Linked DNA regions of Oreochromis niloticus. The main gene of each other region encodes a partner of the protein of the gene in region 2 in a complex. Links are inferred from orthologs where the notes say so. Each region holds a gene or a part of one and is shown on either strand. Other genes may lie near its edges. The genes, in order: b(0,+)-type amino acid transporter 1; slc3a1.

What was found.
Region 1: the proteins of slc3a1 (region 2) and b(0,+)-type amino acid transporter 1 are in contact, whole or in part, in a cryo-EM structure (PDB 6LID), measured with the Homo sapiens proteins. The link is inferred for Oreochromis niloticus from reciprocal best matches to the Homo sapiens genes SLC3A1 and SLC7A9. Residues at the interface, in NP_000332.2 of Homo sapiens: Pro64, Tyr65, Ala66, Gly67, Met68, Pro69, Lys70, Leu73, Phe74, Phe76, Ser77, Tyr82, Pro85, Arg86, Phe90, Thr93, Val97, Leu100, Ile101, Ala103, Thr104, Ile107, Ile108, Ser111, Cys114, His201, Asp202, Thr373, Glu374, Pro375; in NP_001119807.1 of Homo sapiens: Cys137, Phe140, Tyr141, Val142, Gly143, Cys144, Pro147, Ile149, Val150, Cys153, Leu154, Ala156, Ala157, Leu160, Phe161, Thr164, Leu168, Thr279, Thr281, Asp295, Arg296, Tyr299, Tyr343, Val346, Arg347, Lys467, Thr470, Met471, His472, Gln474.

The regions. Positions count from the first base shown.
Region 1 is NC_031983.2:24,847,837-24,864,125, reverse strand, and holds b(0,+)-type amino acid transporter 1, read right to left. Parts: upstream 8,138-16,289; 5' UTR 8,075-8,137; coding exon 7,346-8,074; intron 6,235-7,345; exon of another isoform or gene 5,715-6,234; coding exon of another isoform or gene 5,016-5,714; intron 4,703-5,015; exon of another isoform or gene 4,653-4,702; coding exon of another isoform or gene 4,641-4,652; exon of another isoform or gene 4,613-4,640; coding exon of another isoform or gene 3,884-4,612; intron 3,081-3,883; coding exon 2,947-3,080; intron 1,397-2,946; coding exon 1,267-1,396; intron 1,176-1,266; coding exon 1,051-1,175; intron 947-1,050; coding exon 859-946; intron 783-858; coding exon 552-782; 3' UTR 27-551; downstream 1-26. Other genes in the region: b(0,+)-type amino acid transporter 1, read right to left, coding at 4,641-4,652, 5,016-5,714; utp25 (U3 small nucleolar RNA-associated protein 25 homolog), read right to left, coding at 13,560-13,815. UniProt on the Homo sapiens protein: Associates with SLC3A1 to form a functional transporter complex that mediates the electrogenic exchange between cationic amino acids and neutral amino acids, with a stoichiometry of 1:1.
Region 2 is NC_031978.2:11,067,046-11,083,572, forward strand, and holds slc3a1 (neutral and basic amino acid transport protein rBAT), read right to left. Parts: upstream 8,708-16,527; 5' UTR 8,553-8,707; coding exon 8,123-8,552; intron 7,362-8,122; coding exon 7,182-7,361; intron 7,055-7,181; coding exon 6,909-7,054; intron 6,766-6,908; coding exon 6,640-6,765; intron 6,359-6,639; coding exon 6,239-6,358; intron 3,895-6,238; coding exon 3,770-3,894; intron 3,427-3,769; coding exon 3,225-3,426; intron 2,639-3,224; coding exon 2,456-2,638; intron 2,217-2,455; coding exon 2,091-2,216; intron 1,989-2,090; coding exon 1,554-1,988; 3' UTR 1,345-1,553; coding exon of another isoform or gene 1,267-1,344; 3' UTR 1,068-1,266; downstream 1-1,067. Other genes in the region: prepl (prolyl endopeptidase-like), read left to right, coding at 716-804, 1,267-1,344; ppm1ba (protein phosphatase 1B), read right to left, coding at 13,536-13,565. UniProt on the Homo sapiens protein: Acts as a chaperone that facilitates biogenesis and trafficking of functional transporter heteromers to the plasma membrane.

The DNA.
Region 1 (16,289 bases), on a different chromosome or scaffold from region 2:
CATGAAGATCTGCTCCATTCAGATGCTTTTGTGATGCTTATTCACGTACAGCGAGTACAGACGAATACAAACAGAATCTGAATGTTGCAAGAAATCAGGAAATGTCAGGAGCACTAAGTTTGCTGATATGTTTGAAATACTTTATTTTTTTGTTGATTATAAAGTGACAGCAAGGTAGGACTGACATGCAGTAAATGGCAGAGCTGTAAAGTCCCCTGCAATGCTGAATTATAGCGTGTTTTAGTGTTTATTGTATTAAAAAAAGATAACAAACATGGATTTCCCCTGTAAATCTTAATGAGTTTTGAACTTAAACATCTTTCAAACAATCTTTTACAATGAGCTTAAATGAAAGTTGTGAATTTACAATAAGATAATTTTAAAAATGCAAGTAAAACACTTTAAATGCACCTTTACATAAAACAGCAACACTGCATTATCAGATGTAATTTAACATGTAAGGATAATCCATGGAAAAAGGCTTATTTTATTGGTAGCTTTCAGTTATCTGCATGTTATCAAAGATGCTATCTATGTGTGTTCAGTAAAAATTACAGGTTTTTGTCTGCAGGGGCGACCTCTAAGAAGAGCTGCAGGAACACTGTTAACTTGTCCAACATTCCTGGGCAGAGTTTGTAATGGATGAAGGGTATGTAGACTATAACACCACTTAAGATAAATAAAGCCACGTAGAGGTACTCAATCTGAGGATTGTCTATGATGGGTGCCAGCACGAGGAATATCGCTGCAGCGAGGACCAGTATAGGAATTACAATGGGAACCTGTGGGGAGAGGAAGAACCAGGCATGAGGACAAGATGTTATTGTCATATAATGTTAAAAAAATGATGACACTAACCTTGTATGGCCTTGGGAGGTCCGGCTTCTTGATTTTGAGATAGATGAGCCCAGACAGGACAATGGCATAGAAAAACCAGGCGGTGAAACTGAAAACAGCAAAGGAAGAGGAATTTAAGACAAACAAAAAAATGCAATGTGTGTTAAAAAACAAACGAAGTCGAAATGGAGCAGAAACAGAGTCAGCCTTCACCTGAAGTAGTTGACGATACTCTGAAAGTCTCCAGGAATCAGCACCACCAGAGAGATTATTGTGGTGAAGATCAGCGCCGGAGATGGAGTCAGTCTGTGGACGTGGGCCATGGACAGAATATCTGGCTGCAAAACCAGCACAGGTCTGTGTGAAAATCTGCATGTAGCTTTATTTTAAACAGGTGTATGCGTTCTCATGAGACAGAGAGACTGTTACCATGTGTCCTTCCCGGGCAGCAACAAAGCACACACGGCCGCCGCTGAAGAACGTCCCGTTTAGAGAACCGAAAGCTGACAAGGCTGCGGCCACAGACATGACCCAGCCCCAGCTGCCCAGCACCTTATTCCTGCAGGGAAACCGTTTCTATTACAAAACATCTTATAGTGCATATCAATCAACCCTTTTCTATATACATTTCAGTAATTTAACAAATGAAATCAAAAACATCCTCTGTGGACTTATGTAGGAATAAACCTTTTGGACAGGATGTGATGTCACCTCAATGTAATATTTATCTTGAAAGGTGTTGAATGGGGCCTTTGCTGGTGTGACCAGGTTTAACACTACAAACATCTGTTCTGAGGCCCCTTCTGCCTATGTAATAGTAATAGTAATAATAATAATAATAATAATAACGATGATGATGATGATGATGATGATAATAATAATGATACATTAGACTTGTAAAGCGCCTTTCAAGAAACCCAAGGACGCTTTACAAAACATAATAAATAAAAAAGGCTTAGAGATTGAAGGTTTTATTGAAGAGGTGAATTTTGAGAAGTTTTTTGAAGGACTCCAGTGACGGGTTGTTATGAAGTTCATATGGGAGAGAGTTCCAAAATGACACCCAGACTGTGAACCTTGAGGGAAGGCCAGATGAAGAAACCATCTATATCAGGGGTAGGCAACTCCAGGCCTCACATGCCGGTGTCCTGCAGGTTTTAGATCTCACCCTGGATCAGCACACCTGAATCAAATGATTAGTTCATTACGAGGCCTCTGGAGAACTTCAAGACTTGTTGAGGAGGTAATGTAGCCATTTAAATCAGCTGTGCTGGATCAAGGACACATCTAAAACCTGCAGGAGACCGGCACGCGAGGCCTGGAGTTGCCTTCCCCTGGTCTATATCAATGAGTAGATGGCCAGTCTTCTGGAGTAGTGCATTGGGGGCCTCAACCAAGACCTCTGCGTTATTACTGTTGAGCTTGAGTAGGTTAATTGACATCCATATTTTGATTTCATGCAGATAGTTGACAAGTGATTGTGGGGGAGCAGGGTAGAGAGTTTAGTACAGAGATAAAGCTGTGTATCATCAGCATAGGAATGGAAGCAGAGACCGTGGCGGCAGATGATCTGACCAAGGAGGAACATAGAGACGGTGACGAGAAGGGGTCCAATTTCTCTTGGTATTTGTGTGACACTAGAAGTGAGCACCTCACAGTAGTGATGCTCTTTGCTGCCATTCCTTCTATGTTTGAAATGTTTGGAGGTGACTCGTAAGTAATTTTCCTTACAGTGGATTGATGAGTCTTGCGAGAAATCACATCAACTGTGTAAGATAAATTTCATAATTATTTGCACAGTGGGTAGATTTAAATTACCTATTAATCACCAATTAATCCCGCTGGATGATTTAATCTGTGGTATCAACATGGCAGGGAGCTAACATGCTAATAAAGAGGATTCAAAATGGAGACAGGATGGCAACATCCATCTTTAAATATAGTCTGTGTTTTCAACTTACAAAAGCCCCATTTGTTTGAACATCAGTAATTTTAATGCATATATCAAATGACTGTACAGAGAAGAGGATTTCTTCAGGTTTGCTTCCTGTTCTATGGGAGAAGTAATAAAAAAAGGTCTTATCAGGTTGAGAACAGGTGTTGTCTTACCCCCAGGTAACTGCTACCGCGCTTGAGGACATGAGCTCTTTAGGCGTCATTACTGTCAGATAGCTCACATTCACCAGCAGGTACAAAGTAGTCACAAGAGAAATGGCTATCAGCACCGCCCGAGGAAGATTCACCTGTACAAAAAAAAGAAATGACATGAAATTAAATTAAATGTCATGACATGACATGGTTGTTATGTTTGGCTAAATCTTGATTACATATATTAACAAAGCAGTCTCACATGATAAAACAAAGCCTCCTTGAAGATTTACTTTTTTTTAATACTTTGCCAAACCATGGGGGGGAAAGCTCACCAAACAACACCAAGCACCAAGTTTCATGCAGACAGGACAAACTGGTGAATTATTATAAACTGACATGAACAATACGTATGATCACACTGAAGTTTTAACTACTTAAGATAAACTTAATTTACCCCCAAATTTCTTAGAATAAATAAAAATATTAAATTCCTAATCAAAAAGGCATAAACTTTATTAAACACTTTAAAGAGCTGTAATTAAAAAAAACTTTCATTTATTCTGGAAAATTTGGAGAAAGAGAAAAATTATGGTTGACATGCTTCTTATACTTGACATACTCAGAGTAAGAACTGCAATTACAACAATCCTAACAATGTCAACTTGTGTACCTCTTTAGTCACCTCAGAAACTTTAAACACTGATTTACAGCGTTGTAGGGATGTGTTTTGGTACAAAGTCAATAAATTACCTGAAAAACAAATTTAGAGTTTAGGGGGGGGGAAGGTAAGTGGTCATTTTTCTCAGGATAGCAGCAAGACAACAATCATAATTCCCTGCAGAATCTTTACCAAAGCACAGGTTATAAACTGTATTTTTTATTTTATTTTATTTTTTTACATATAATGTGCATAAATACTACTATTTCAGATCACTTCTGACCCTTTCAGCCTCACCTCTGGTCTGTTCAGCTCCTCAGTCACATAGTTCAAGTTGCTCCAGCCACCGTAAGACCAGAGACCTTGAAGTAAAGCCTTTCCCAGAGTGTTCAAAGAAAACTGAGTTCCTTGAAAAGCATTCTCAACGTCAAAATTTTCCTCGATCACAGTGCTGCCCTGTAAAACTTTCACTAGCCCTCCAATTACAATGAAAGTGAGTGAAAACACTTTGGCCACCAAGAAGATCACCTGCACTCTCAGAGCAAGTCGGACATTCAGGATGTTGGTCATGGCAGCTACCAGAATACTAAAAGCTGCAAAGCATTTCACAGCCAGCTGAGGAGGTGGGCAGCCTGGGTAAAAGGGAGCCATGACATACCTTGCAATGGTCATTGCTTTTGCTGCAATGCTGGAAGGTTTCAAAAGCAGGATAAAAGTGATTGCCGCGAAGAAGGCTGGGAATGAACCATAGATCCTCAGGATGTAAGTAAATTCCCCTCCAGATTCAGGAATAATGGTCCCAAGCTCAATGTAGGAGAGAGCCCCAAACAAAGCCACAACACCTGAAAAAACCCAGATTAACATGCTGGCCCCAGGACTTCCCACATATGCCAGGACATACTGTGGGGACATGAAGATACCAGCTCCAATCATGCTTCCAGAAACTATTGCTACTCCGCCAATCAACCCAATCTCCCTCTTCAGTTGCAGGCCTTCGTTTTTTTGGGTTTTGTCCGCCATGGTCATAGAGAGCAGGGAGCACAAAGCGACACGTCTACAGAGCAGACTGAGAAAGATACAAAGAATTCAGACGCTACAAACTGCGTAGAAAAAGCTTTCAAAAGAAATCACGTGGTGTAAAATATACTTGTTTTGGCTTCAATTAAATATTAACTCTACAGTTTTCTAACTGTGTGGAAAAAGTGCTAACCACTGCACCAATGAGCCACCAGTTGGTTATGGCTTAGATTATTATATCCTAAACCAGTATCAGTTTTTATGTTACAGTTTGTCCTGGCCTGCTCATCTAAATCAGTAAGGAGATAAAAAAAAAAAAGCACAATCATGAGTGGAGACGCACAGTGTTGGCATGCTTCATCTTTATTTTGACTTTCTATAAACTTCTAATAGTAAATATTGAAATTCTTACTTCTGGATGTTTCACCTCCTCAGTTAAACAATTTAAAGTGTTCCAGCCATCATATGACCACAAGCCCTGATAGAAAGCAATGCCAATGGAGCTGACCCCTACGTTGGTTCCCTCAAAGGAGTCCTCAAAGTTCTCAGTGTGGCCCTGGAAAAGCATCACAATGCCTCCCAGGATGATCACCACCAGGGCCACCACCTTCACTGCCATGGTGACCACCTGGATGCCAGTGGCCAAGCGGACATTCAGACAGTTGATTATAGCCAGCATCAAGATTGATCCGGCAGCCACGAACTTCACAGCCAGCTGTGGAGGAGTGCAGCCGCTGTAAAAGGGGGCCACAGCGTATTCAGCAAAGCTGAGAGCGATTCCTGTGCCACTAGCCGGCCTCATGACCATGATGAAGCTGAAGACGAACATGAAGGCCACCACTTTCCCTGCAGTCCGCAGTATGTAAATGTACTCGGCTCCAGACTCTGGTATGATAGTGCCCAGTTCAGCATAGCACAGCCCCCCCAGCATGGCTATCAGTCCACAGCAGGACCATATAATGAAGCTGGCCCCTGGGCTCCCAATAGTGGAAAGGACGTACTGGGGAGAAATGAAGATCCCAGATCCAATCATGGTCCCACCAATGAAGGAAATTGCTCCTATGATCCCCACTTCCCTCTGCAGATTGAGTCCATGTGTGTCATGTCCCATTGTCAGAACTCTGTCTTCTCAGAAGCAGCAGAGAAGATCAGACATGTGCAGTTATAAAACACTGCCTGTTGCACAATAGGAGGAGTGCACAAAATTAAACTGCTATGAAATTAAAATCAGGCTATTTTTTAAGCAGATTTTATGGATGTCTGTTTGTCCAGAGTTGTTCTTTTCTCCTAGGTTTCACGTAAACAGTGATTTATTTTAGGTTCTGCTCTATAAAACACAGTCAGAGAAGTGAAAAATTAAAAGTATAGACCGTTTTGAATATTTCCAGTCTATTGGAAATGTCCCTGCAGGCCAAGTGGATTCTTCTGGTGTCCTCAATTCTTTCTCTGGTGTTTGTCCATATTATGTTTACTTGTGTCTGGATCTACATGACCTACATTAAGATCAAAAACACTGAAACTTTAGTAAAAGATTAGACAGGGCCTCATCTGAGTGAAGAAATGAACAGAGTATCTGCATGACAATGTTATCAGAGGATGGGCATGACTTGGCCTGGTTCTCCCTTGTACCAATTTAAGCGGTCCAACAGAATAACATAAAACTAAGTTGAATATTTACTTTCTTTAATACTTTGCTAAACCATGTAGTTAAAAATGCTCTCCAAAGTTGAACTCTTCTTTTGATTAAAAAGACTCTAGTGTGATATAATAGAAAAGAACACCAAGCACCAAGCTGCAAAATTCAGTCAGTGGAAATGGGTGAATTATTATGAAATAATATGAAAAAGGACAATCACACTGAAGTTTAAACCATTTAAGATAAGGATAAATTAAGTTTATCATAAGTTGGAGTATTTTTAAATAATTTACCAAGTCTTTAAAAATATTAAATTCCTATTTAAACAGTAATATTATTATTAGTGCTGTCAGCGTTAATCTTGTTCAAATGACGTTAACGCCATAACCGCATTAATGCGCCAAATCTCCATTAGCGAGTTACCGTGGATCGCCCCGTGCGTGGGGCTGCACAGCGTCAACGCGTTAATGAGCTACCTGTGCTAATGCGTTGACACTGTGCAGCCCCACGCACGGGGCGATCCACGGTAACTCGCTAATGGAGATTTGGCGCATTAATGCGGTTATGGCGTTAACGTCATTTGAACAAGATTAACGCTGACAGCACTAATTATTATATAAAATGCTGCAAGGAGCTGTAACTAAAAACAAAGTATTTGTTCTGGAAAAGCTGAAGAGACAGAAAAATGTTGGTCAAAATGCTTCTTGTTGTAAAATATATTCTGTTACTTGATCCTCATATATTATATTCACTGTACATCTTTATGTACAGTCTTTGATACCAAGGAGTCACGCCCCATTGGAGTTAGGACCGAAGTGATAGCAATCCAAACATAATGTCCTCTCATCTACCTTTATTATCCCCATACAACACCTCAGACACATTGATCACTGATTTACAGAGTGTTATAGACAACCCGTGTTAGGACAAAGTCAATAAATTACCTGAAATACAAATTCAGAGTTAAGGAAGAAAATATAGCAGCATATAGGCATCTTTTGCAGTAGAGCATCAAATCATTCTTGACAGATTTTAAGCTGTATTTTAAAAATTTAGAATGAATAAATGCTACTATTTTAGGTCACTTCTGACCCTTTCAGCCTCACCTCTGGTTTGTTCAGCTCCTCAGTCACATAGTTCAAGTTGCACCAGCCACCGTAAGACCAGAGGCCTTGATAGAAAGCCATTCCCAGAGTTCCCACAGAATACTCGGTGCCTTGAAAAGCATTCTCAACGTCAAAATTTTCCTCGATCACAGTGCTGCTCTGTATGACTTCCACTAGTCCTCCAATTACAATGAAAGTGAGTGAAAACACTTTGGCCACCAAGAAGATCACCTGCACTCTCAGAGCAAGTCGGACATTCAGGATGTTGGTCATGGCAACTACCAGAATACTAAAAGCTGCAAAGCATTTCACAGCCAGCTGAGGAGGTGGGCAGCCTGGGTAAAAGGGAGCCATGACATACTTTGCAATGGTCATTGCTTTTGCTGCAATGCTGAAAGGTTTCAAAAGCAGCATAAAAGTGATTGCCGTGAAGAAGGCTGGGAATGAACCATAGATCCTCAGGATGTAAGTAAATTCCCCACCGGATTCAGGAATGAGGGTCCCAAGCTCAGTGTAGGAGAGAGCTGCAAACAAAGCCACAACACCTGAAAAAACCCAGATTAACATGCTGGCCCCAGGACTTCCCACATATGCCAGGACATACTGTGGGGACATGAAGATACCGGATCCAATCATGGTTCCAGAAACTATTGCTACTCCGCCAATCAATCCAATCTCCCTCTTCAGTTGCAGGCCTTCGTTTTTTTGGGTTTTGTCCGCCATGGTCATAGAGAGCAGGGAGCACAAAGCGACACGTCTACAGAGCAGACTGAGAAAGATCACAAAGAATTCAGACGCTACAAACTGCTTCGAAATGGCTTTCAAAAAAAAAAAAAAAAAAAAAAAAAAGCTCTCAATGTGATCAAGGGGTCGTAAAACCTACTCGTTACCCTCATTTAAATATTAACTCCACCGTTTTTTTTGCTCTATAGCAAAAGTGCTAACCACTGCACTAAAGGGCCAACAGGCTTGGGTCATCATGTCTAAAATTTATATTAGTTTTCATGTTACTTTGTCCAGTCCACTCATCTAAACGATATTTTATCTTCTTACTCGTTTAGTAAGAAGATAAAATATATACAATCCTGACTAAAAAGCCACAGTTTTGGCTCGATTTATCTCATTCTTTTTGTGTTTCTATAAACCACAAAGAGTAAATGTTGAAATTCTTACTTTTTTGATACCTTAAGATCATTTTACCTGTCATCCCTGAGGCTTCTTCAGTTCTAAAAGAAAAGGTGAAGAGTTCCAGGTATTCAACCGTAGTGGGGGTTATCCCTATTGGAGGGAGTTGTTGATCTACTAATTATCATATGTGTCATCACATGAACCAAATTGTTAAAAAAGTACCAGTTTTTGAAGCTCTTAAGACCACCATGAGTTAGATTACTGCAAACCTACACAGACTTACTTCTGGATGTTTCACCTCCTCAGTTAAATAGTTTAAAGTGTTCCAGCCATCATATGACCACAAGCCCTGATAGAAAGCAATGCCAATGGAGCTGACCCCTACATTGGTTCCCTCAAAGGAGTCCTCAAAGTTCTCAGTGTGGCCCTGGAAAAGCATCACAATGCCTCCCAGGATGATCACCACCAGGGCCACCACCTTCACTGCCATGGTGACCACCTGGATGCCAGTGGCCAAGCGGACATTCAGACAGTTGATTATAGCCAGCACCAAGATTGATCCGGCAGCCACGAACTTCACAGCCAGCTGTGGAGGAGTGCAGCCGCTGTAAAAGGGGGCCACAGCGTATTCAGCAAAGCTGAGAGCGATTCCTGTGCCACTAGCCGGCCTCATGACCATGATGAAGCTGAAGACGAACATGAAGGCCACCACTTTCCCTGCAGTCCGCAGTATGTAAATGTACTCGGCTCCAGACTCTGGTATGATAGTTCCCAGTTCAGCATAGCACAGCCCCCCCAGCATGGCTATCAGTCCACAGCAGGACCATATAATGAAGCTGGCCCCTGGGCTCCCAATAGTGGAAAGGACGTACTGGGGAGAAATGAAGATCCCAGATCCAATCATGGTCCCACCAATGAAGGAAATTGCTCCTATGATCCCCACTTCCCTCTGCAGATTGAGTCCATTTGTGTCATCTCCCATGTTTAGAAAGTTTTCGTCTTCTTAGAAGCAGCGGACAAGAATAAACACCTGTAGTTGTAAAACGTCTGTTACATAAGAGGAGGAGCACACATAATTATACAGCTACGAAAAGTAAGGTGAGGCTATCAGCAGCATGGCTGTTATATGCTGTTATATGCATGCCTGTTTAAAGTTGTTCTTTTCTCTTAGGTTTTCACATTTTTAGAAACTAAAAAGCTAAAAATAAAAATATGAGAAAATACAAAACTGCTTAGCAATATGGTCTCATGAACAGCATGAGCAGTTCTGCATGACTTAGCACATTCCTAACTACCAGGTTATAGCGCTGTAAATCCAGCAAAACCACAAACTCTCCAGTGCAAACTGTGGGTTGAGATGAGATTTTTGCATCATGAACTGTTTAAAGGCACTCAACTTCTTGCTGCGAGATGCCCCAACTAACACACAAAACACCAGATTTAAAGTTGCTGTTGTACTCAAAAATATTTATTAGGGGATTTTAACCTTGAGCCACATCTTATCAGGAAACCAATTCCTAGAAATATTCGTCTACTCTGGGATAAACACGTGTGGACCAATAGATTAGGAAAATTAGTAACTATTATTCTGTTATATTCTGAAAGGGAAAATAGATTTTTTTTGATAGGGGAGAAATAATGTATTTGATTCCCTGCTGAATGTTTAGAAAGAAAAGAACAGCCTCTAATATTCTTGTTGTCTGAGCAAGATTCTTGTTCATTGTCTGATGTTGTGTTAAATGTCTTTTTTATTGCTTTTGCTTCACTTGCTGTTTGGCTAACTCTGACATATTTACATTAATATCCACTGTCCCGTTTAAATAAATACATTCAAAATCAAATCTTTTAAATTATAATTGAGCCAAATAAACTAAATAAATAAATGCAAACGGATCTAAACCTGAATACAGAACCACAGAGTGTATCTTGACTTCAGGAGAAAAACACAATAATCATTTAATGGGCTCATGTTAACAATCCATTAATATATCATCCAACATCTGGGCTACATCCATCTATGTAAGACATTAAATCACTGAATTATCCCCAAGGTCAGTTTAATGATTTATTGGTTGAAAATTGACAGCTGACTCTTAAAGGTACCAAGATTTAAAACGTTTAAATAATAACAGTGTGATACATGTACAATGTTCCTGAATAAGAGAAAAAAGATAAAAGTTATCATTGTTTTTCACTTGGTCTTTATTACTAAACACAAATTAATTTGACCTAATAATTAAATCAATGCCTACTCCTATGTCGTTATTGCATTCACAAACTTGGGTGCCCACGTCGCCCGCCCGCCTGTGTGATGACAATACCTCATCTGCATTTTATGGCTCAGGGGAAATAAAAAGTAATTATACTCAAATTATGTTGTTTATTAAAATGTGTTTCAACGGGGCAAATAAAAACCTGCACTACAAACTTCTCAGAGTACTTTTAAAAAGAAAAAAATAAAATGAATATGAACTAAATTTAACACTAATCCCTTAAAAGTAAATGAACTGCCTTGGTGGGGGTTTGTGCTCGCCCTTCTTGTTAAGTTTTACGATAAGAAACTATTGATTTAAGTTTATGGTCTTATTATGCTACCGAAAGATTAGAAATAGGAAGAATATCAACAGAAAATTTTTTTTTTTCTCTATGTGATGTTCATAATACACACTACTAACAGATAATAGATCTGAAATTAAACAGTTTATTCATTTATTACCTCTGTCGCTACTGTGCTTCTCTGGCCTCAACACAAAGGTCTCAGCCGGTTATAGCTCAAAGTTCACGTTAAACATTTGTTTCTAAGCAATAAAAATAAATTATTTTCTCCCTGCAGAGAAACCATTACTTATTTATTCGGGGTGATTGTGTTTTACAGTCAGGGCGTGGGTCAGCCTCTGAAGACCCTCCCACTTACCTCGGGACGTTTTAACTCTTCAGTCACTGAGTTCAGATTGTTCCAGCCGTCGTATGACCACAGCCCCTGGTAGAAAGCAATTCCTATTGAATTGACGCCAACATTTGTGTTCTCAAAGGAGTTTTCAAAATTCTCAGTGTGGCCTTTGATAAGCATCACCACACCTCCTATGATAATCCCTGTCAGAGCCAAGACTTTGACTACAGTAAAGAAAACTTGGATTGACATTGCAAAGCGAACATTCATGCAGTTCACGATGGCGAGCGTGATAATTGCCGCTGCAGCCACGCACTTCACCACCAGCACCGGAGGGGGGCAGTCTCCGTAGAAAGGAGTTGCAACATAGGTGGCAAAACTCAGTCCCATGCCAGCAATGGCTGCAGGTCTCACAAAGAGCACAGAGCTAAAGATTAACATGAAGGCAAGCACTGGACCTGAAGTCCTCAGAATGTAGATGTACTCGCCCCCTGATTCTCTGATAACTGTGCCGAGCTCGGCGTAGCAGAACGACGCCAGAATTGCCAGCAAGCCGCAGGACGCCCATATCACCAGGCTGGCACCGGGGCTCCCAATGGAGCTGATCACCGTCTGCGGGGTCATGAAGATCCCAGATCCGACCGCTGTCCCCACGATGAGGGACACGGCTCCCAGCATCCCCAGCTCCCGCTTTAGTTTGAGCTTCTGCGGCTTTTCTTCCGTCATCACTGCAGTTACACAGCTGCTTACAATCTGACACCTTTAACAGTGGAGAAAACACAATAATAGCGTGACCAAAGTCACTATTGCATCAACACAAGGAGTTAATAATTATGTGGGCGGCTCATACAACCACCTGTTTTGCTTGGTATTCTCACACGGCCTCATATGTTTGTTGGGCTTTTCTTATTGGCTGCTTCAGGGATGACAGAGATGCACAGCACCTAAGCAGCCCTGAGTCAGAAGTATGTAAATCAGACCACAAAGACTCTCTGTTGTACTCCTTCACTGGCCTTGAGATGTTATGTTACCCGCTAATAACATATTATCCCGATAGAGCACATCACTGTGAGACTGCAAAATGGGAGGTAGAGCCTTCAGCTTTCAGTCTCCTCTGGACAAGGGCTGGTTTCACAAACATACTCTAGATCAGTTTTTAGGATAAGACTAGACTTCATTTTACGCATTTGTTATTCTAATGGAAATTAGACTGTTTTATAAAAAGACCAATTTAAAGCTCTAAAATAGTCTCCTTACCCCCACGAAAACTTAAGCCTAGGACTTATCAGTGACATCCGCTTAGATCAGCTGCATTTAATAAAAAGAGGGGAAAAAATGGGTCATAATCTATGGTTCACCATTATTTTTGCACCTTTCTGCATGCATTACCCTTTCTGTTCTCGTTTAATGTATTGTTTCAATTGATAGTGGCCTCTATATACTCCTCCAGCTCTCTCATTTTTCCCCTCATGCCCCAAACCCGATGTAATAGATTGTTACCCCTCCGCGAGCCTTGCTTTGCTGGGGGTTTCTTGATGCTTAAAGGCGGTTATCATCTCCCCACCTTTGCTTGTTTAGTAGTCATAAAACAGGAGCGAACTGGAATTAAATAAACAACCTGTAAGAATAGTGTTGTCACCTTCAATGACCTGTCTGAAATGGGGGTCTTCTCATTCCTTTGGACCCTCAACATCAACATTTACATGTTGAGTTTGTGAGCTTTAGTCGCTCCACATTTATGTCCATGATTCTCACGGTGACATTGAGGTTTTAATCTACACTGTCTTTGATTAAGTTTTATGAGGATTAATCTGAACTGTAAATCATCCAAAGCTAGTCTAGCAGGTTTTTTGGCTTGAAATTCTCATTAAATTACTGCATGATCACCTCATGAAAACTATTATGCAATTATTTTGGCACTTCATGGCCGTGTTAGGTCACATATTGCTATGCATGAACTTTAATCAAGTAAAAGATAAGAAAAGTTTTTTAATAATAAACATCCAACTCTTTCTTCTTACCAGTGACAACTTAATAATCTCTTTACAAATGAAAGGAATGTTTTATGGTCTCCTGCAACAACAAGGCCAATAAACATGTTTTCTGGTGCATGTGGAAACTTTCCTGATTATTAAGCATGGTAAACACCTATGCTCAATTTACTCCAGCCGTCCTTCTCATATCTATCCAGTGTCATCATACATTTTTGTCTTCCCCTCCCGTGACAAAGAGGTGAACAGCCTTGTTGGAGTTCAGCATCTGTCCTGCTCGCTGTGCTCCGGTGATGGCGGCCAGTTTGTGAGCGTCGTAGCGCGAGTAGAGTGCCGTGCAGGTCCAGCTGGCCTCCTCCCCCTGACTTGCTGTTGCCAGCATGTTACACACCTCGCTGTAGAAGTGTGGGAAGGAGGGCAATCCGTAAAATATCAGGTTCTGTATCCCTTTGATTGTGTACCTAAAAGAAGCACGTCAGAGATCAGGCTCTTTTAAACCAAGAACAACATGGGCCATCATTTTCTCATGGTTTTTTCCAGTTAAAAACAGCTGCTTTATACTTGGTGGAGCTAACTGTCATCCAATCTGCAAACTGGATTTCTGATGCAAACCAAGCTATCGTAATACAAGGACCAAATTCCCTGCAATAATAGGCCAGTTCCCTTAAAGTCCACAAAATGCATGTAGACTGGTTGGATGCCCTCAAGAAGACAAAGGCCTGGTCCAGTGATGGAAAAAAAAAAAGCAGTGAAACAGTTTTACCAAGAAAGGAGCCAAACTGAGGGAAGCAACCTGGGTTAGACTAGTGAGAGTTAGTAATAAAATTCTATTAAAATTAATCGTCAGCAGCTTGGATACCCAAGTTGGTGCTGATCTTTTAAAGGTTTAAAAAAAAAAAAAACCGGACTAACTGCAGACGAGTAAGTGAAGTGTTGCTAAAGGCAACGTAAAGTGCATTAAAGTAGTCCAGATGTTTTATCATAAAAGCATGACTAAGAAATTTGTTTAAAAAAAAAAAAAAAGCTTAAGTAGATTTCGCCTTGAATAAAAGGCTCAGCAGGTAAAATCTTGCTTCAAGAACAGAAATAATCTGCCCATCTAATTCGACACTTTGGATTGTCACTGTAGGTTTAGCTGAAGGCCCAGGAGAGGAGCAGTACAGACACCACTTGATGTGAACAGAATGACCTCAGTTTACTTAAATGAAAAAAACCTTTAAGGCCACCCAGGCTTATAAGTATTTAAAGCCACCAGCAGTGGTTTAAGGGAGCTGACATGGTTTCTTTTTATTGGCACGTAAATTACGGTATCATCTGCAATTAGTCCCATAGGGAAAGAATAAAGAGAGAAGAGAATTGGCCCAAGAATTAAACCTTGTGAATGGTTGAGGAAGGAAGGTCACCAAGACGAGCCGAGAAGGTTCTCTGTGATAAATAGGACCTAAACCACCCTTGATGCCCTAGTGTTCTACACAGGACATGAGATTGGTGTAGTTCACTGCGTCAGAAGCATCAGTAAGATTTAAAAGCACAATAATAGTGAAGTCATGCAAGTTAGTTAGTAAAAGACCATTTAGAATTCACAAAAACATGGATGATTTTCAGACCAGACTAGAAAACTTAAATACTGCGAGTGCCTAAAAAGAACTGCTGTTCTAAAAGTACAGTTTTCTCTAAAACTTTAGGTATGTATGGCAGTTTTTAAATAAGTCTAAAATTAGAGAAAACCAAAGCACTGAGATTTATGTTTTAATCAGCAGGAGTACCACAGCTTATTAATATTAGTCTGAACGGGGTATTTAATTTAAACAGTGGTCTGAACGATTGGTCCAATAGTCTTCCAGAGCTCTTTAAAAAGGATCAAAGGGAGCACATTAATGGGAAAAGAAACTGGCTTAAGCTGAATGACTATTTTCTTTAAGCGAGAGGACAGAACTGATAATAAACTGTCCTTTATTACCGCCTACAGCAGAGGATACACGAAACCAGTTTCTATAACAGGAAACATTATAATGACATGCATTGCTGATACGATTTGACATTTCAACAGCCTGTTTGACCCCGAGCTGAACTATCACGCCGAACGATCACGCAGAACTATTACACTATCACGCTGGTGTAATAAAATCTTATCAAGTTGTTGCCTTGAGAGCATATATTTATATAAGCTTCCTAAATAGAGATCATGAGCTGTATTAATTGATCAAAGTGCATTTAAGGGTTTAATGTCACTTAATTTGCTTAGTAAAAACTGTTGGAGTAGTTGCAACCTTTAATTTAAATAATTTTCATTTCAGATCGGCTGGGATAAGCAATGAATGCAAGGCATTGTTTACGTTGCAGTAATTCTAAACAAGGAGGAAATTAGTTGGATAAATCTAGCAGAAAAAGGCAAAAATATCTTCATGTTTTCTTTTGAAATATTTAGGAATTATTCCATGATTAGGCATCTATGTGCTATAAATTTTTAAAAAAGAAGCATCAAAGCAACAACAAGATGAAAACACCTGACAGTCCTACAATTCTTCTTCTGACTGCTCCCTTTAGGGGTCACCACAGCAGATAATCTGCCTCCATTTCAGCCCAGCCAAAGTATCCTCTGTCACACCAACCCCCTGCATGTCCTCCTTCACTTTATCCACAATTCTTCTCAAGGTCTTTGCCTCCTGCCTGGCTTCTCCATCCTTTGTTGAATATATCCTATATTCTTTCTCTTCACATTTCCAAACAAGCTCAGCATTGGCTCTCTAACTTTGTTTTCAAACTGAGCTGTCCCCCAGATGTACTTATTTCCAGTCTTGTCACTCCCAATGAAAATCCTACGACCTTCAGCTCAGCCTCCTGTGATTTATGTCAGTACCACCACCTCACAAACCACACATCATAGCAGCTCTCACTACCATCTTGTAAAACTTCCCTTTCACTCTTTCTGCTA
Region 2 (16,527 bases):
CTGTGTATACATGCGTTTTGTGTGTGTGTCTGTTAGTGTGCGTATGTGTGTGTCAGCTAATTGCTCTCATTTCCCCCTGACAGGCTCTTTCTCCCTCTCACTTATAATCTTCCTTCACCACGTTGGTGGTACTCCTTATTTACACCCCTCTCTCTCTCGCACTGCCTCCTCTGCTCCTGTTTCAAATGCACACATTATCTCTCTCCGTTACCCTCGCTCACTTTTCTGTTGTTCACACATACACCAGGCAGCTTAAGTGTCTGTGTATATGTGTGTGTGCGTGTGTGTGTGCGTGTATATGTCTCCCTAATCTGTCTCTCTCTGTTCTCCGGAGTCTTTGATAAAGTGCTGATGGCATAGACACATCCAGGCGGGTGGGCAGGCCCATTAGCATGGTAAAGAGATAGTGTATCAGAGCAAGAGATTAGACGCCACAGACTGGGAGCTGTCAAGGTCAAGACCGCACTTGTGAAACAGTCCATACCACAGAGACAGGGAGGGGGGATAATATGGAGGAGGGGAGGCAGGGGGATATCAGATGGGAGGATAAATGAGTGAAAGCAAAGACAGAAGACTGAAAAAGATGATTTTGGGGGGGGGGAATGGACAGAGAAGGGGAGCAGAGAAAAGAACATTTTAAAGAAAATTTTAATTTTAAGTATTGTCTTCTGCCCTTACTTGGCTCTTGAATCTCTTTGTGTACTTTTAATTTTAGAGTGTAAACCAGCACCAAACATAGCTCTGAATATCCAACCTGGAGCAAATCACCTTGGACCAGAAGACTTTGAGCTAATGCTGGAGGAGGTAAATTAATTTTCCTGAAGCTAAAACCTTCTTGAAAAGATTGATGTTTTTATTTTGCAGTCTTTTTAAGGACAAATTGATCTGCAAATTGGACACAAATATTTTCTGGTATGAGACATTTTTAGTTGCTGAAAATTATGAGTGGCTCTTAATGTCCCATCAGAATGCACACCAATTCTGAGACATGAAATATTAGTATGCAATATACTATTTGTCTCACAGCTTTAAAATTGAGCTATAAAGTCAGTTAAATCAAGGAGGCCTTTTACCTGTAGATGTGATTTTGTTTATTACAAATGCACCATGATGTCATGTACGTGTGTGATAAGCAGCCAAATCTGAGAAAGCCTTCTTAATATATAATCTATAATTGGCCTTATGAATGTAAAAGTTTGAGTTTCAGCACTTGGATGGGTGATGACAGATACATACTGTTTGTTTGGTTTTTATTCCATAACAAAGGAAGCCCTCGAGCTTGCATTTCTGTACATGGAGCTAGGCCTGGACCCTCCTCGGCCTCAACGCAAGCGGAGAAGATAGCGAGGCTATGAAGAAGCAGTCGGGCATGAAAAACAGAGCATCTTCCATCACAGCAACTAGACAGACTGGTGCCCAAATCTAATAATAATAACAGCAATTACACTTTCAAAGATAAGAAAAAACTACATTGTAGAGGAAACACCAGAGAAAAATCTTAATGCTTTGATTGTTTCCATAATACAGCAGTTATTGGATACTCATCTCCATTTTTACTGACATTTATAAAGTATGCCTATGGTCTCCAAATAGCAAGCCTTCTCAGAGATGTAGCACTCTTCAGGATGGTTGGGATTAAACCGAGTGTTGGTGGAGTACTGAATCACCAAACCCTCTCCTACTTCTGTCTGGATGCGAGACTTCGGAAACACTTTGCCATCATTGACTTTGTTGGTGCTCATCAGCACCTTCAACTCATCTGGCAGCTCACGAACAGAGGAGAGATCTGTGACAACTGATTCTTTACCAAAGTTAACCACTATGAGGAAAGCTCGCTTAAGTCCATCAAGCTCTCTGATGTAAGAGAAGACATTGGCATCAGTGTGGACGTAGCAGAACCATCCACGGTTAAGGGGGAGCTCTGATTGACGCAGGGTGTTCAGGAAGCGGTACTGAGCCAGAACAGAACCATCATCTTTCATCTGGGCCTGGGAATAAAGGAATGGGAGGAGGACAGATGAACCATAGAAAGATACACATAAGAAAACGATCTTTCTTCAAAGTTGAACATTAGAAAAACAGATCTATACCTCCACGTTGACCGTTTCATAATCGGGGTGTAGTGGCAACCAGGTGAGATTTGTTTTATCATTAAAACCTGCGTTCATGTTAGCATTCCACTGCAATGGAGAACGCTGAGGGTCTCGACTGGCACTCTGCAGCGAAAGCAGAGGAATCATATTGGTATATTTGCTCATGTATACAGTCACAAGTGTATTAGATACAACAAGACTGCAAAAATGTCCTTTAAAGTAAAGACATTTATGTTGTTATATTTATGTTTATTTATTGTTATTTTTAAAATGACATTAAACTGGTTATTTTTAAGGACCTCTCACAGAGATGTGTGACAGTGAGGGTTTAAAGGTTTCTTCAGTGTGTGCACAGTACTGACTGTATTGTATTTGCCGGCTGGGTCTTGTATCTGACTTGCTGTCACGTTAATGTTCTCCATGCCGATCTCCTCGCCGTAGTAGGTGGTGGCTGTGCCTGGAAGGGTCAGCAGCAGCATGTTGATGGCACGAACATAGAGTTGACCAGCACTGGAAGAAATCCGAGTCCTGTCATGGTTTCCAACCTGATAACAGTGTAGGTAAGAGAAAAACAAGACAGCGGGTTGAATAAGAAATTAGGAAGTAAGGAGGTGGGCTGAAAGGGATGGGTTAGGTCATTCAGGAAAGAGATATGCACACATATTTGTTTTCTTAATATGTGTTAGGTGCTAAAGTCTGGAGATGGACATAAAGTAAAAAGGCTATACTTTTGAGCCTAATCAATAGTAATTACAGAAAATAAACATGCTTAATTTACTTTTACTCAGCTACTAATTATTTAGCTTTACAGGAGGGTTTTTGTATTGACAAATTTAATTTAATTGCCTAGTGTTTGTCAAACTATCACTGCAAAGGGGTTGATGATTAACAAACACATAAACCGACCTGTGGTTAGAAAGATACGACAGCAGAAGCATGATCTCAGGCAGACAGTCTACTAAGGATGACTCGACAGTTCATTCTTATGAATGCTGCTGACACATTCCTTAATCTGATGATTTCAGCATGTTATGTGCCACATTATGCAGGACATGACGCTACTGATCCTGTGGTTTTTACCATTGTAAAAAGCGAGGAAATAAATATATAAATATGAGTTTAAGAACTCACCACCCAGTTGGGCCATTTTCCTTTGGGCATGTTGCCCATCCAGAGGTGGACCAGATGCTTAGCCCATGCTCCACTGGTGTTTTGGGGTAGATCCAGCAGGTAAAAGTTAAAGGGGAAGTCACCTTCCTTTTCCAGCTTGGTGCCATAGTACATCATGGTCTTGTACACCTCTTCATAATCGTATGACTCTATTACCATGAATCTGCAGCACAGGAGGAATTTATTTTGCATGTGATATGACACAGAAACCACAATGACTTGTGTCAGGATATTGTCTATTAGCTGATTTTGTTTATCCTACTATTTGAAATAATTAAAAAAAATCTGGGCTCAATTCCTTATTCTAGATTTCAAGTTGCTTTTATTAGCATATTTAATGAAATAGTTTGGTTTGAACATTAGTGCATTGTATAAGCAAAAGGTCTTTAATATTAAGGATGTTTGTGACATGATAATTACAGGTAGTAATAATTAAGTAGGCGAGTGCATTACAAGTTTATCTGTTCTGCCATAGTAATATTGAATGCACTTAATCACTTTCCTACCTGTATCTGCCAGGCTCTTGACTGTAGATGTCCATCTGTGCTCTAAACTCCCTCAGTATGTCATGCAAGCCCACCTGACTGGTGGTGTAGTCACTGTGGAGATCCCACTCTGTAGTTACCAACTCCTGGATAGAAATATGTAAAAGGTTATGTAGTGATTATGCAATTTTAGTATAGCTTAGCTACTTTCAGGCTGTGTGCTGGAGTTAGAGTTTGTATTTTCTATGAGCAAAGTTTGCTGAGTAAGAAACTGTGGATTAAGAAAGTTTCTGCTAATTCTTCACACTTTTTATTTTTGTAACTGTCCAAATAAAATGGGCGAGAAAGGCAAAGGAAGAAAAAACATTCTGTTAAGTTCTAATTATGGAGGCGCTGAGGAAATCTGACTCACTGGACAACTATTGGCGTTACCAGAGTGTAAAGCATTGGGTTTACAGATTTAAGGGAATCAGCCATAGACCTGCACAGAGACAGTGATGTCACAGTTCTAAAATTACACCTAATGTGCATGTCTTTTTTGAAAGATAATCTCAAGCCATTAAGCTGGCCTAATGTCAGGCAAGTGAACCATTCAGCCAACAGCAACCACAGCATAAACCACTAAAGCAATAATGTAGAGGCAGATGGTTTCTGATTCGTATTTAGCTGAATCACAACTCAGGGTGTGATAAAATTCTTAATATGCCTATAAACTTTTAGATATCTTTCTCGATTGCAGAATTGTAGTTCCAGTGGTTTGTAAAAATGCGTTACTGTTTCTAAGATGGCAAAGAGTTGTTTGGTTTAAAAATTACCTCATGGTTAAACATGATCAGATTGTAAAAATGTAACTTAACTGCAAATCTGTGGGTATAAATTCTCAGTCATCAGTGAGTAAAAGAGTCCCAGTGTTATGGTTTTACCCTGCAGTCGTAAGTAAACTCCTAATGACTTGCTAATCCACCAAAATATGCTCCTTTGCTTCTAATCTTTCCCCTGTGAGAAATATCTTCAGCCTCTTTGACCTTAATTCAGCATGTATCACGAACCCTTTGAGTTTCACAAACAGTGTGTTCTTCACATGACTATGAAGTTGACATTTAAGCTAGAGATAAATAATCAGTGATACATCATACACAGTGTGTACAGTCCCACTCAGCTTTTGATTATTTTTATTCTACTAGCAACAAGGGAAAGTTCTTCTTCAGTGAAGCTGCTTCTGCACACAGTACTGCTTTCATGGATCAGATCGTTAAATTTTGGACTCTGACATTTCAGATAATTACATAAGTCAATAAAATCAAATTATGACTGCATAACTCTAAGTTACAGCTTTGATTCTTAGAACTGTTAAGTTCATCCACCACCTTTATCTGAGCAACGATGCACAGTTCTTGTCATTTAACCCCAAATTTGTTGAGCATTTTCCTTTTTCAACTTACTGCAGAACAAAGAACCTTATAGATGAAGTAGATATATTTAAAGGTTTTTCACCGTAAAATGCTTTTTGCCTGTCAAAGATTTTATTGGCATAACAGATATCATCTATCAGTTTCACATCAAAAGCTATTTATCTTAGGTTATAAAGTTATATCACATGTTGATGAAGTGCCAGTGAGTAAACACATGGGATTGCTTTAGCCAAAACGTGGCTCTGGTTTTCTTTTTCCACAGTGGTGGCTGTCGGGCAAAGTGAGCCCAGACTTAGGGGTAAATCAACCTGGTGGTTAATCTTTTACCAAAACAAATGCATAATCTTAAAATTGATTTTGCATCATAACAAATCCCAACTTAAAAATTCTTGAAAGTCCTAGCGCTTTTATGTCAGAGGAAAATGGCCCGACTGCTTTGAGCGGATATGAATGCAACAGTGATTCAAAAAAACATCATCACAAATAAGGTATGCATAAGAGCGTCTCTGAATACCTAAAAACTTGAACCCTGAAGCAGATGAGCTACAGCAGCAGAAGACCACGCTGGTTGTCACTCCTGTAAACTGAGGCTACAATTCACATGAAAGCATGGATCTATCATGACTTTTATCAAAGGTTCAGGCTAGTGGTGGTGGTGTAATGTTGTTGGAGATATATTTTCTGAGTGTTATTTCATCTATTGATGGCTGCTTCTAGCAGGATAGCACACAATGTCACAAGGTTTAGATCAAACTTGTACATGACAATGAGTTTACTGTACTGTCATAAAAGTACTGCAAATGAATGTGTTCTTGTGAAAAGACTCAAAATCATTTAATCACAACTGTCACTAAACAACTGCTACACCTTCACCTGTTACACCCACTCTGTCTATCACTATTAAAAATGAAAATGTCAGCTATTTGACCGTCTTTGTCAAGTCAGTGTGTGAGCAGATGGCAGCTAGCACAAAGCCAGCAGGTTTTGTTGTCTGACACGAGCGGCGCCCATTAGTGACGAGTCATTTTAGCTGAACTCAGCAAAACCAATGAGGTTAGATGTGTAGTTTAACACTCACGGGTGGTTTGTTTGGATCAACCTGTGGTTCATCCCTCATGTGTGGAGCCTCCAGCATGTGCTTCACTGCATCCATTCTGAAGCCATCCACTCCCTTATCCAGCCAGAAATGAATAATATCCTAAAATTGAGAAAAAGAAATGCATATAGAGCAGTTAAACTAGCATCTACATTATGTGTGAAAAGGCTGCAGAAAGATAAAATCATTTAACTATAGCAAAGACAGTTGAGTAGAAATAATGTTTATGTACAGCCCATTATTGCTTATGTTGTACTTTGCGCTGTGTGCAGCCACAATTAAAAACATATAGGTTAACTGGTACAAGTTAATGTGTAATCAGTGTGTCACACATTACTGTTAAAGGTGGACAGAGGACACAAGAATGATAATACAGTTCTTACAATCATCTCATTGATGACATCTGGGTTTCTGAAGTTCAGGTCTGGTTGCTCCTTGAGAAACTGGTGGAGGTAGCACTGCCCTCTAACTTCATCGTATGTCCATGATGAGTTCCCAAAGATACTCACCTGAGTGCAAGATGGGAAACAAATCTGATATAAATTCCAGTACATTGCACCTGTTTAGTACTATGAACTTGGTGAAGGTTCAGTGAAAATGTGAAGAAGACAAAATCATAGACCAGCTAGAAAAGAACAGAACAAGCACCAACCCAGTTATTAGGCTTCGGTCCGTCTGGTTTGCAGTCAGTCCACACGTAATAATCCTCATAGTGAGGATCTCTAGTCCGGCTCAAGTTGAACCAGCGGTGTCGATCACTGGTATGATTGGGAATGAAATCCATGATTAGCCTCAAACCTGGTGGAAATGGAGACAGGTATTTGTGTGTCAGACATGCAGCCTGCTATAAAAAAACACTCATACCCCCCAAAATCACCTTCTAGCGTCACATTTTCACATAAACAAGGGTATTCAAAGTGCACACCTTTGCTGTGCATTGTTGCCAGGAGTTCCTCAAAGTCCTTCATGGTTCCAAAGAGTGGATCAATATCACGGAAGTCCTCCACATCATACCCAAAGTCTTTCATGGGAGAACGGTAGAAAGGGCTGATCCAAATTGACTTGATGTTAAGGTATTCAAAGTGGTCCAGCTTCTCCTTGATGCCTGTCAGACGGGAGATACAGGATCTACTGTAACCACTCGGTGCTGAAATTCAGTCCTAATAGACTGAAGGACTATGGATAGGAAAAGAGAGTACTGAAAGCATGCATTAGTAATTTTTTTTATAGGAAATAATGCAATATAATGAGAGCACTGTCATTTCCCTCTAAAAAGCATCTGCATATTTAATATTATAAATGAGCCATTGAAAACAACCAAATGCAGTTTTACCATTCCCTTTGTATAGTTTATTATTATTATTAATGGTTAAATAAAGTTAATAATTTACTCTTGTATAAGTGACCAAACATAAGAAATTGATAAGAGCAGCTGTTAGATTGACAGAGTGAAAAATCTACCAGGACATTGTGGATTTACAAGAATTTGGCAAAGTATACACCATCTCAGAAAGGGTGCTACATTGTTTTAAAAAATGGAGCCTCAAGAGTTCATAGAAGGCTTTAACTGGCAAAAAAAAATCACAGCGATTTTGCAGGATTTCAATAGTAGGCTACTCTATAAGTATAATCTATAAGAGTATATGGGGAAGTATTTATAATATGGCCTAAAGGTGTTAAAAGTACAGTAGTTTGAAATGCACAATATAATATGGAAATGCTCTAAGTGACTCAAAAGTGTAACAGTATTTGCCTTCCACTGTGGGAAGCGGAGCGTCATTGGTGTCGTGTATAAGAACACCTGTTTTAATGAAAATCTTCGAACAGTCGTTATCAGAACTTGCAGTAGTGCCTCGGGTGTCTTACCTTTGAGGTCTCCCACCCCATCCCCGTCGGAGTCTTTGAAGGACCGGGGGTAAATCTGGTACACCGGGGAGGCCTGCCACCAGCTCAGGCACTTCGGAGAAAGCGCGATCACCGCGATGGTGACCGCCACCAGAGCCAGGGTGCAGCACACCGTTAGCCAGAACAGGATCTCTCGGGGCACTCGGTACCGGGCCTTAGAGGAGTACAGCACCAGCACCTCCTTAGGCATCCCGGCGTACGGTTTGATCTGCGTGTACTCATCTCGCGCGTCCGAGAGCCGCTTCACGCCGATGGAGTCCCGCTTCTCCTCGCTGTCGGAGACGCTGATGTTGTCCCTCGCTGCTGGCCCGTCTCCGTCTGCATCCTTGTAACCCGGGTTTCTGGTGCATTCCCCGAGCTCCACGCTGTCGGAGTCTTTTCTATAACTCATGTTGTTTGTTAAAACGAACCGTGTCGGGTTGTGTAGCTCGCCTCAAGAACAATGAGTGACTCGGAGAGCGCACATTAAAGATAATACAGTCAGAGGGTCATAGTACACGGAGTAGAGCCCGTCTCTGACACACCTGTGGAATGTGGGAAAGTGGAGAGTTGATGGGACTGGTTACAGATTAGCATTTTTTCAGTACACAGTATTAACTACGACTGAGACATCAGTTACTTCAAATGTAACCTTCCAAACCAAACAAAAGCACCGAGGCGCAAGTTGCCTTTTAACATTGTAGGCGATAAAGTTGCACCTGAACTAAATGTGTTTCCTATTTTGGGATTTGTGAACTTTCAAAACCCCAAGAGCTACTCCATTTCTTTAATTCTAGAAAACGCATCATGTGTTGATTAACATTTCTTTTCACAGCTCACAGATCTTAAACTGAAAAAAATATATATACATAAAATACACCCTAAATCAAGGGTGTTCAACTTAAAGTTCTGGGGCCAAAATGTGACAAAGTCTCCAACCTGGCCCATAGGACGCCCAATTTTACAGCTTTTCCTGCTGATAAATAACTTCTGTCACAGTCATTCATACTACAATAAAGTGTTTTAATTGTGTATCCATTACGTAATGACAGAAGTACAGTATTCCTGTTTTTTTTACCATCTTTAGAAATTTCTGCAAACTAAATAGAAAAATTTGCTGTCAATTAACAAAAACTTTATGGTTCATAAATACGGGACGTTCGAGACAGTGAGCTAGCAGAACTTTATCTGTCTTTATTTTTTACACATTTATCATGTAGAAGGATGTACTGCTGAAATTGCACTTGTTTATCTTATCTTATCTCAGGGATTTAATGTGTACTTAAACTTCTTAACGCTGGCAGAAATCTGACTTTGTTCTAACAAGTGTATATTTGGTGTGATCACCTTTATTTATTTTTTTATTTTTTTAACACAGCCTCTCTTAGATAAGCATTTTTGTAATTTTTTAAAGAAGTCTTTAGGAATGGTTGACCAGGCTTCTTAACTGTACTGGCAGTGTGTTTTTGGTGACCTCTATCCCCTGACCCCTCCATACAGATTAAAGACCAAACTGAAAACCTTTGGAACTGGTCTCAGTTCCTACAAGTTTATGAACTGTTGTCGAGAGAAGAAGGGATGCTAAAAATGTATAAACATTTTGGGGACTTTTTTTTAATGCTACATTTTTTCATTTTAAGCATTTGATGTTTTCTATTTTCCCTTATGAAGAAAATACATTTAAGATTTACAAATGATAGAATTCCTTTTCAATTTGCCCTTTACAGTATCTCAGATTTCTAGGAATCGATCTTCTGTTATTATTGCCACCGATTTACCATCTTGTGACTTATGATAAATTACAAAAAAGAACCCTTGACACATTTGTGTGCCTGTGTCAGTCTTTCAATCTTAATGTTAGACTCGCTGCTCTCTTTTCTGACCTATATGGTAACTTATTCTTGTACAAAACGCCCTCTTGCTTGCTTCAACAATGTGTTGATTAACATTTCTTTTCACAGCTCACAGATCCTAAACTGAAAAAAATATACATAAAATACAGCTTTGCTGTTGTGTTGTGCTGAACTTTAATTGCATACATAATAATAGCTGACATTTCAAACTAAAACTGCAAAAAGCATAGCTGTTTAAACCTTTCAGTCTTTTATTGACATTTATGTTCATCATTTGGTCTTTCAACATTATAAAGCACGCTGGACGAAGGGATGGTGCACAAAGGTGATGATTTTCTGATGTTTTAGGAGCTAAAACAATGTCCTGAAAAAAAACCCCTGGAATTTCTACTTGTATATGAAGAGTGACCAGAAACACATGTCTATGCTAAAAAGCCCACAGGGAATGTAAACCTTCAACCCGGCCCAAAAATAACCGACAGGTTCAGGAGACCAAATGCTTGTAAAATTCTCTTTACTCAACAGAACGTTAAATCATAGCAACAAGTCAGGGTCAAATTATCCAGGCATTGCCAAACTTTCAAAGTCTCCTTTATCTTATGTCTTCCCACATAAGTTCTGACATTATATTCCACAATCAGAATAATGATCAAGTATATACTTTTTTTTTTGTTTTGTTTTTTAAACAAAGGAAGCCAAGGTAGCTTGTTCTGCCATTAAATGACCGATGAGGAGAGAATGTGATGCTGCAGTGCTGCTTGTATTCAGTCCATGCAGTGGAATCAGTGTGAGTAATGAAGAATTACATTCAGAAAAATAAATGTCTCTGTCCTTCCCTCCCTTAAATTCTCTCCAAGCCCAGTGTCTGATATAGCTTAAACAAAAACCTAAACTGAAGACCATGTTCAGTGTGGTAAAAGCTTGCACAATGTTAAAAAGTATGCGAATATGAGATATGACAATGTCCACAATGGGAATGGTGGGAAACATGTGGTTTAGGGTTTTAAAGTTAAGGGAAATCTAATTTGTACGTTAAGTCCCTAAAAGTGAATTAATATCCTCATTTGTGCTCCAGTTCATCTACAGGTTGTTCCTCTATCACTGCCTTTCCTCTCCAACATTGTGTTTCACCACACTGAACATTGTCCACATTATCACCCACCCACCCACCCACCCAGTGCATATCACACGCAAATTACACTCCTTCCTCAATCACAAAACATGCACCAATAGGAGATACCACCCCTCCCACTCCCTCCACCACAAAGAAAAGTTATATCATTGCAATAAAACAACTGTAACTGCAAAAGAACTACACATTCAAGTACCTATTTGTCATATGGCACCAAGAGCAAGTGTACCACAATAACATTAACCAGCCAGCAATCTCTGTCAGGTGTATTCTCTTCCAATACTGCCACTTCAGAAAGCACATTACATGCCATTAAATGATTCTGTATTTATAGCATATTTTAACCCCATCTAAATACTACACACACACATAGACAATGCATGTGTGCGCACACTGTAAAAGACTTGAGTTCTTTCCTGACAAATATCCATTTCTAAAGCTTCCATCACTTTTTTAGTGCTTAGGTTAACACAAAAGACTCCTGGTAAACCCAAACCCAACCTAAATCAGCAACTGTCCTGTGCCTTCAAGGTAAAGTCAATGAAGGTGGTTGTGGGGAAAAGAGGGGAAAAAAGAAAAAGGACACCAATTCAGTGACTGTGAATTTAACTCTCAGTGTAGAACCCCTTCTCCTCTGCCTACAGTGTCCCTCCTTTGACTTCATACAGTGAATAGCCAAAACCCAAGTCTCCCAATATGTTGTAAAAGGTATGTTTCAGGTTCCTCTTGTTGTTTTCTTTATCCATTTGTAACAGGACCACAGCAATAGTAATTAAAAAAAAAAGTATACCAAAAAAAGCATATATTTAAGGTAATAAATGTTTACAATCTAAACCAAAAAAAAAGGTATTTTTTGTTTTTTCTTCTTTTTTTAATATATATACACACACAGGATATCAGAGAGATAGAAAAAGGCAAGCTGTAGCATGAGCAGGATTGTGTGTGCGCATGTGTTAAGGATGAGGGGGCGGTTGGAATTCCTTTACCCCAAACCCTGTCTTTGGAACGCTGCTGTGTGGGAACGGTGTGTGCAGCATCATGGGGTTTTTTTATTGGGTGGGGAGGTGTTTTCCCCCCCTTCTTTTTTTTTTTTTTCGACATTAGGCCGCAATGAATACCATGGCTGGGAATTTAAGTGACAACAAACAAATCAAAATATTTCTGTCTATATAGATATCTCTCTATATATATTTTTTATATTTATGAATTTCATATACAGTTTCTATCTTTCTATAATATCTTCAACAACAGCAGGCTCAAAAGCTTATGATTCTGGCATTGTCTGCAAATGCAAAATGAGAGCCGAGTCTTTTCTGCCCCATGAAGAGGCAAAGAAACTGAAGTTAAAACAAAATTTTTTTTAAAAAATAAGGCAGACAGAAGGGAAGAGTGACAAATCAAGTGACAATATCCTGAAAGAGATGAGCAGACAGAAAGTAAGCAGACGTGCAAGAAGAGTCGCTATCACGCTCAAGTTTAATGTATTTGCAGCTGGGCAAACCAGTCCACGTCCCATTTAAGTCTGGACATAATATCCAGGAACCAAACTGGGATTTGGTGCCAAAAAGTCTCTCACATAAGTGCTCCCCTTATGGTCAGGTGTGGATTCTCAGGCTTTCAGACCCTGAATTTGAGGCTTTAACCTCAAGGTCTTTGGATAGTGATTCATTTAGTTATTTTTATTACATTTCTGTGAGTTCTGTAAGGTGATCTCCAGTGAGCCATGTCCATTGGTAAGTGAAGTGTTGGCCCCTGTTTGTGTACCAGTAATGCCCAGATCCTGAACTGGACAGTGTAGCTTAAGGTGTGTAGTTGAGTTGCAGGCTTGTGTGGTCGATCAACTCCCCGTCAGATGCAAGAAAAAGTTCACACTTCCAAAGAAATAATGCCACAAACCACTTTAAGCCTTCTCAGTGTTTACAATGAATCCACTAGTGGTTGGTTTTGGTCGTGGCTGGCTGGCGAGTTGTGAGGTCCTCCCTTCTCTCTCTCTCTGGTCTAAGCAAGGCACCACAGAACCCTAAAAGATTCAGACCTGTGTCCTATGTCTCTGCAAATCCACAAAAAAAAAAAAAAAAAAAAGAAAACAAGGGGCAAGAGAAACTGTGCTTGTTGGCCTCTCCTCCTCGCTCTGTTTATATTGTAGATTCAGTTCTTGAGTCAGAACATGAACGCAGTGTCCCCCCCTCCCCCTCCATTTTTTTCTATTAAAAAAAACAAACAAACAAAAAAAAAAAAAAACAGTTTTGCAGTCCTCCACATTAGGTGTTTTTAAAACCAAGATTTCAGCTTCAGTTATTCTCAGTGTGGGAAAAAAAAGAATTACAGAAAAAATTAAAAGGTGACAATGAATGTAATCTCATGTGGTATAGTGGTCCTGTATTTTCGATCAGGCAGTTGCACTGGACAGCTACCAGTGGTACTCCAATTCCGCTCCACTCTGCAAAAGGAAAGGAGGGAGAGGAGAAAACAGGGAAGACAAGAAGAGTAAAATAGAGGAAGAAGAAATAAGAGAAAAGTCAGGAAACAAAGGAAGGAGAAGAAGGGTGGGGAGAAAAAAAAAGACATTTTTTATAAAAAGCAAAAAACAAAAACTAAACAAAACATTTTAAAAGTGAAACTCAAGGATTTATTCCCCCAAACCCAGACCTGAAGGTCAGTTTTCCTTATGACCAACACAACTCAACAAAGAAACAACACAATATATTTACAATGCTGTTACAACAGCAGCGTGAGGCAGTAAACATCTTCAACCTCGGTCTCCGGAGTCTTTCTTTAACATATTCCAACAAAACAACTGCAAGGCCTTCCGTCTTATTTCGAGGAGGGACACAGAAACAAAGACTGTTGTATAGTTGCGTGCAGCTGCTGAAAGACTGAGTGAGACAGCAATGCATGCGTGTAGGAACAGTGCATGCGTGTTTGTATGCCTGTGACGTGAGAGGGGGGGACGGACAGGACTAGAAACACCTTTATCATTCATCCTCATCAGACCTCGACAATCATGTCTGCAGACGTCCACATGAACACGCCTTAAACTCTAAATGGACCTCCACATGCAGGACAGCAGATCAGAGAAGGGAGTAGAGACAGATGAAGGTGTGACAGGGAGGATTTGTGTAGCAGGTCACCACTTACATGCCTGTAAGAATGTGTGTTTGTACACATGTGTGCATGTGTGGTTGTATGCATGTGTGTAGATGAGGGGTTGGAAAAGGGGGAGGTGGGGGTGTAACAGTTATATATGTGATCACTTACCAAATGAAACAGGAGGGCTGCGTTAATCAGAGGGTGAACACACAGTTAGACAATAGATACATCCCTTGTCAATGTTTGTGTGACTACAGGTGCGTACCTTACTACACACCATGTGCAAAATATGTTTAAATGAAGGGTGCAACCAGCACTAATTGAGCTACTATGACATGCTTCTTTCCAGCAGCTGTAGAGGACGGCTTAGCCACTTAATGTAGACAAAGAAACCTGTCAAGGTTAAACTAGGATGGCTCTATTTGACAATGTTATGACAAGCAGCCTTGTTTCTTTCTCCTAACACCTAGCAGGTGGTAGCACTCAAAACTTTTTGTTACAGTGTACAGTCACACACAGAACCTACCCACTGTGCCGATATCCGTTTCATGTGTGGATTTCTTTTCTATGATTATGTGTACACAAAGCAAACAATCACAGTACCTCTAACTCATTACAGAAAATCCAAGACAACACCATGAGGCAAATATCACATCCAGCTAACAGGACACACACACACACCCACACCACACAAGACCCCTTATATGCAGGTAGAGCTCTTTAAGGACACTGCAGTGCTTATCATTCTAAACAATACAATAGTGGCCTCAATCTCAGTGTGAGATTCTCTCACAGACACAAAACTTATCAATCCTTTAAAAACATTTACATACATACATTAACACATGCAGTACTGTAAGCCATTTACTGCAACAGGGGTCTCAAACATAAGGCCCAGGGGCCAAAATTGCACCGACACAGACTCCAATCCGGCCCACTGGACCGCTATGATAAATGTGAAGGAAGACATAAATTTTGGACTTTTAACTATATTTTCATGAATTTAACAGACCCTCCAATGGCCATTCGTACTATACCAAAAGTAATTAAGTGGCAAGTAAATAGTGAAAACAATCAAAAATTTCTCTCTTTTTTAAAAAGAAAAAATAAATGGGTCCACAAAAAAGAAAAAGAAAAAGAAATCAGTAAATTGTGCAGTTAACTTCTTTATGTATATTTGATCCCCTTTTTTCATGTCGTGATTGTCAAAGGACATGTTTGTGTGAAATATGCATGCAGGTAACAACAGCTGCAAAATCCAAGATTTAAAATTCCATATTTTCCATCTCTGTAGAAAACACTGAATCCTTGGACAAAACTTGGAGTGCAACCATTTCATAAGCACTCAAACAGTTTACCCTTAATAATAATGATAATAATAATAAAAATAGAGAAACAGGCCTATATTTGAAAGAGGACAACAATAACAATACTGTTTATATAAGCTGATTGTTTTTCCTCCTCTATGGTTATAATGAGCTTATGTGTTGTAACCTGCAAATGTAAATGCAGGTTAAAAACCTGGCTCAACAAGTGCCTTGGCACTGTCCATTACCTCAAAGAACATGAAGCTGCTAGTTAGAAAAGAACACCTGGACATTTTTTAAACTTTCCATTAAACATTAGTGAAAAGCTTATTATAGCAATCCACCTCAAGTAAACTGGACCCATTATGTTCATTTCGGCCCTAGTAGAAGCTTTGCATGATTCAGTTCAAACAATCTTTATTTTTCTTACACTGGTGCTTCATACCTCAGTTTATCTAGGGTGTGAAAATAGCCATCTTAGCTACCATCCCCTGTCAGAATTCCACAAACAGAATCTAAATCAGTCACTAAGTTTAGTCAATAAATTGAACAGCCTGTGTGTGCTGTTGGTGCCTTTATTATCTGACAAATAACACAGCTTGGTGTCTTGTGCAGTACAATCCGTGTGTTTGTCCTTCAGTGTTGTTTACTCATACCCTAGTATTTTATTAGTCTATTATTTAGCACTAATTAGCAGTAGTGTGTGTATTGCACCAGTGGAGTCTACAAACTGTCAACTAAGTTTGCCAGTTGCTAGCTTAGTACACACCCTTATTGTCCAAATAAGGTCACTTCTGCCTCCAACACCAAAGTTGTGGTAGCCAAAATGCTTACACTGAAGAATTTAAAATGCAGAGTTCGAAACTAAATTATCCATTGCTATCTTTCATATACAGTCTATGGTTGTAGAAAAAAAAAAAATCAGAGTAACAAAGGGTGTCTGTCTTTACTGGCAAATAAAAATAAGTCAATATTTTCCTTGGGACATAATTTTGGATTCCATTT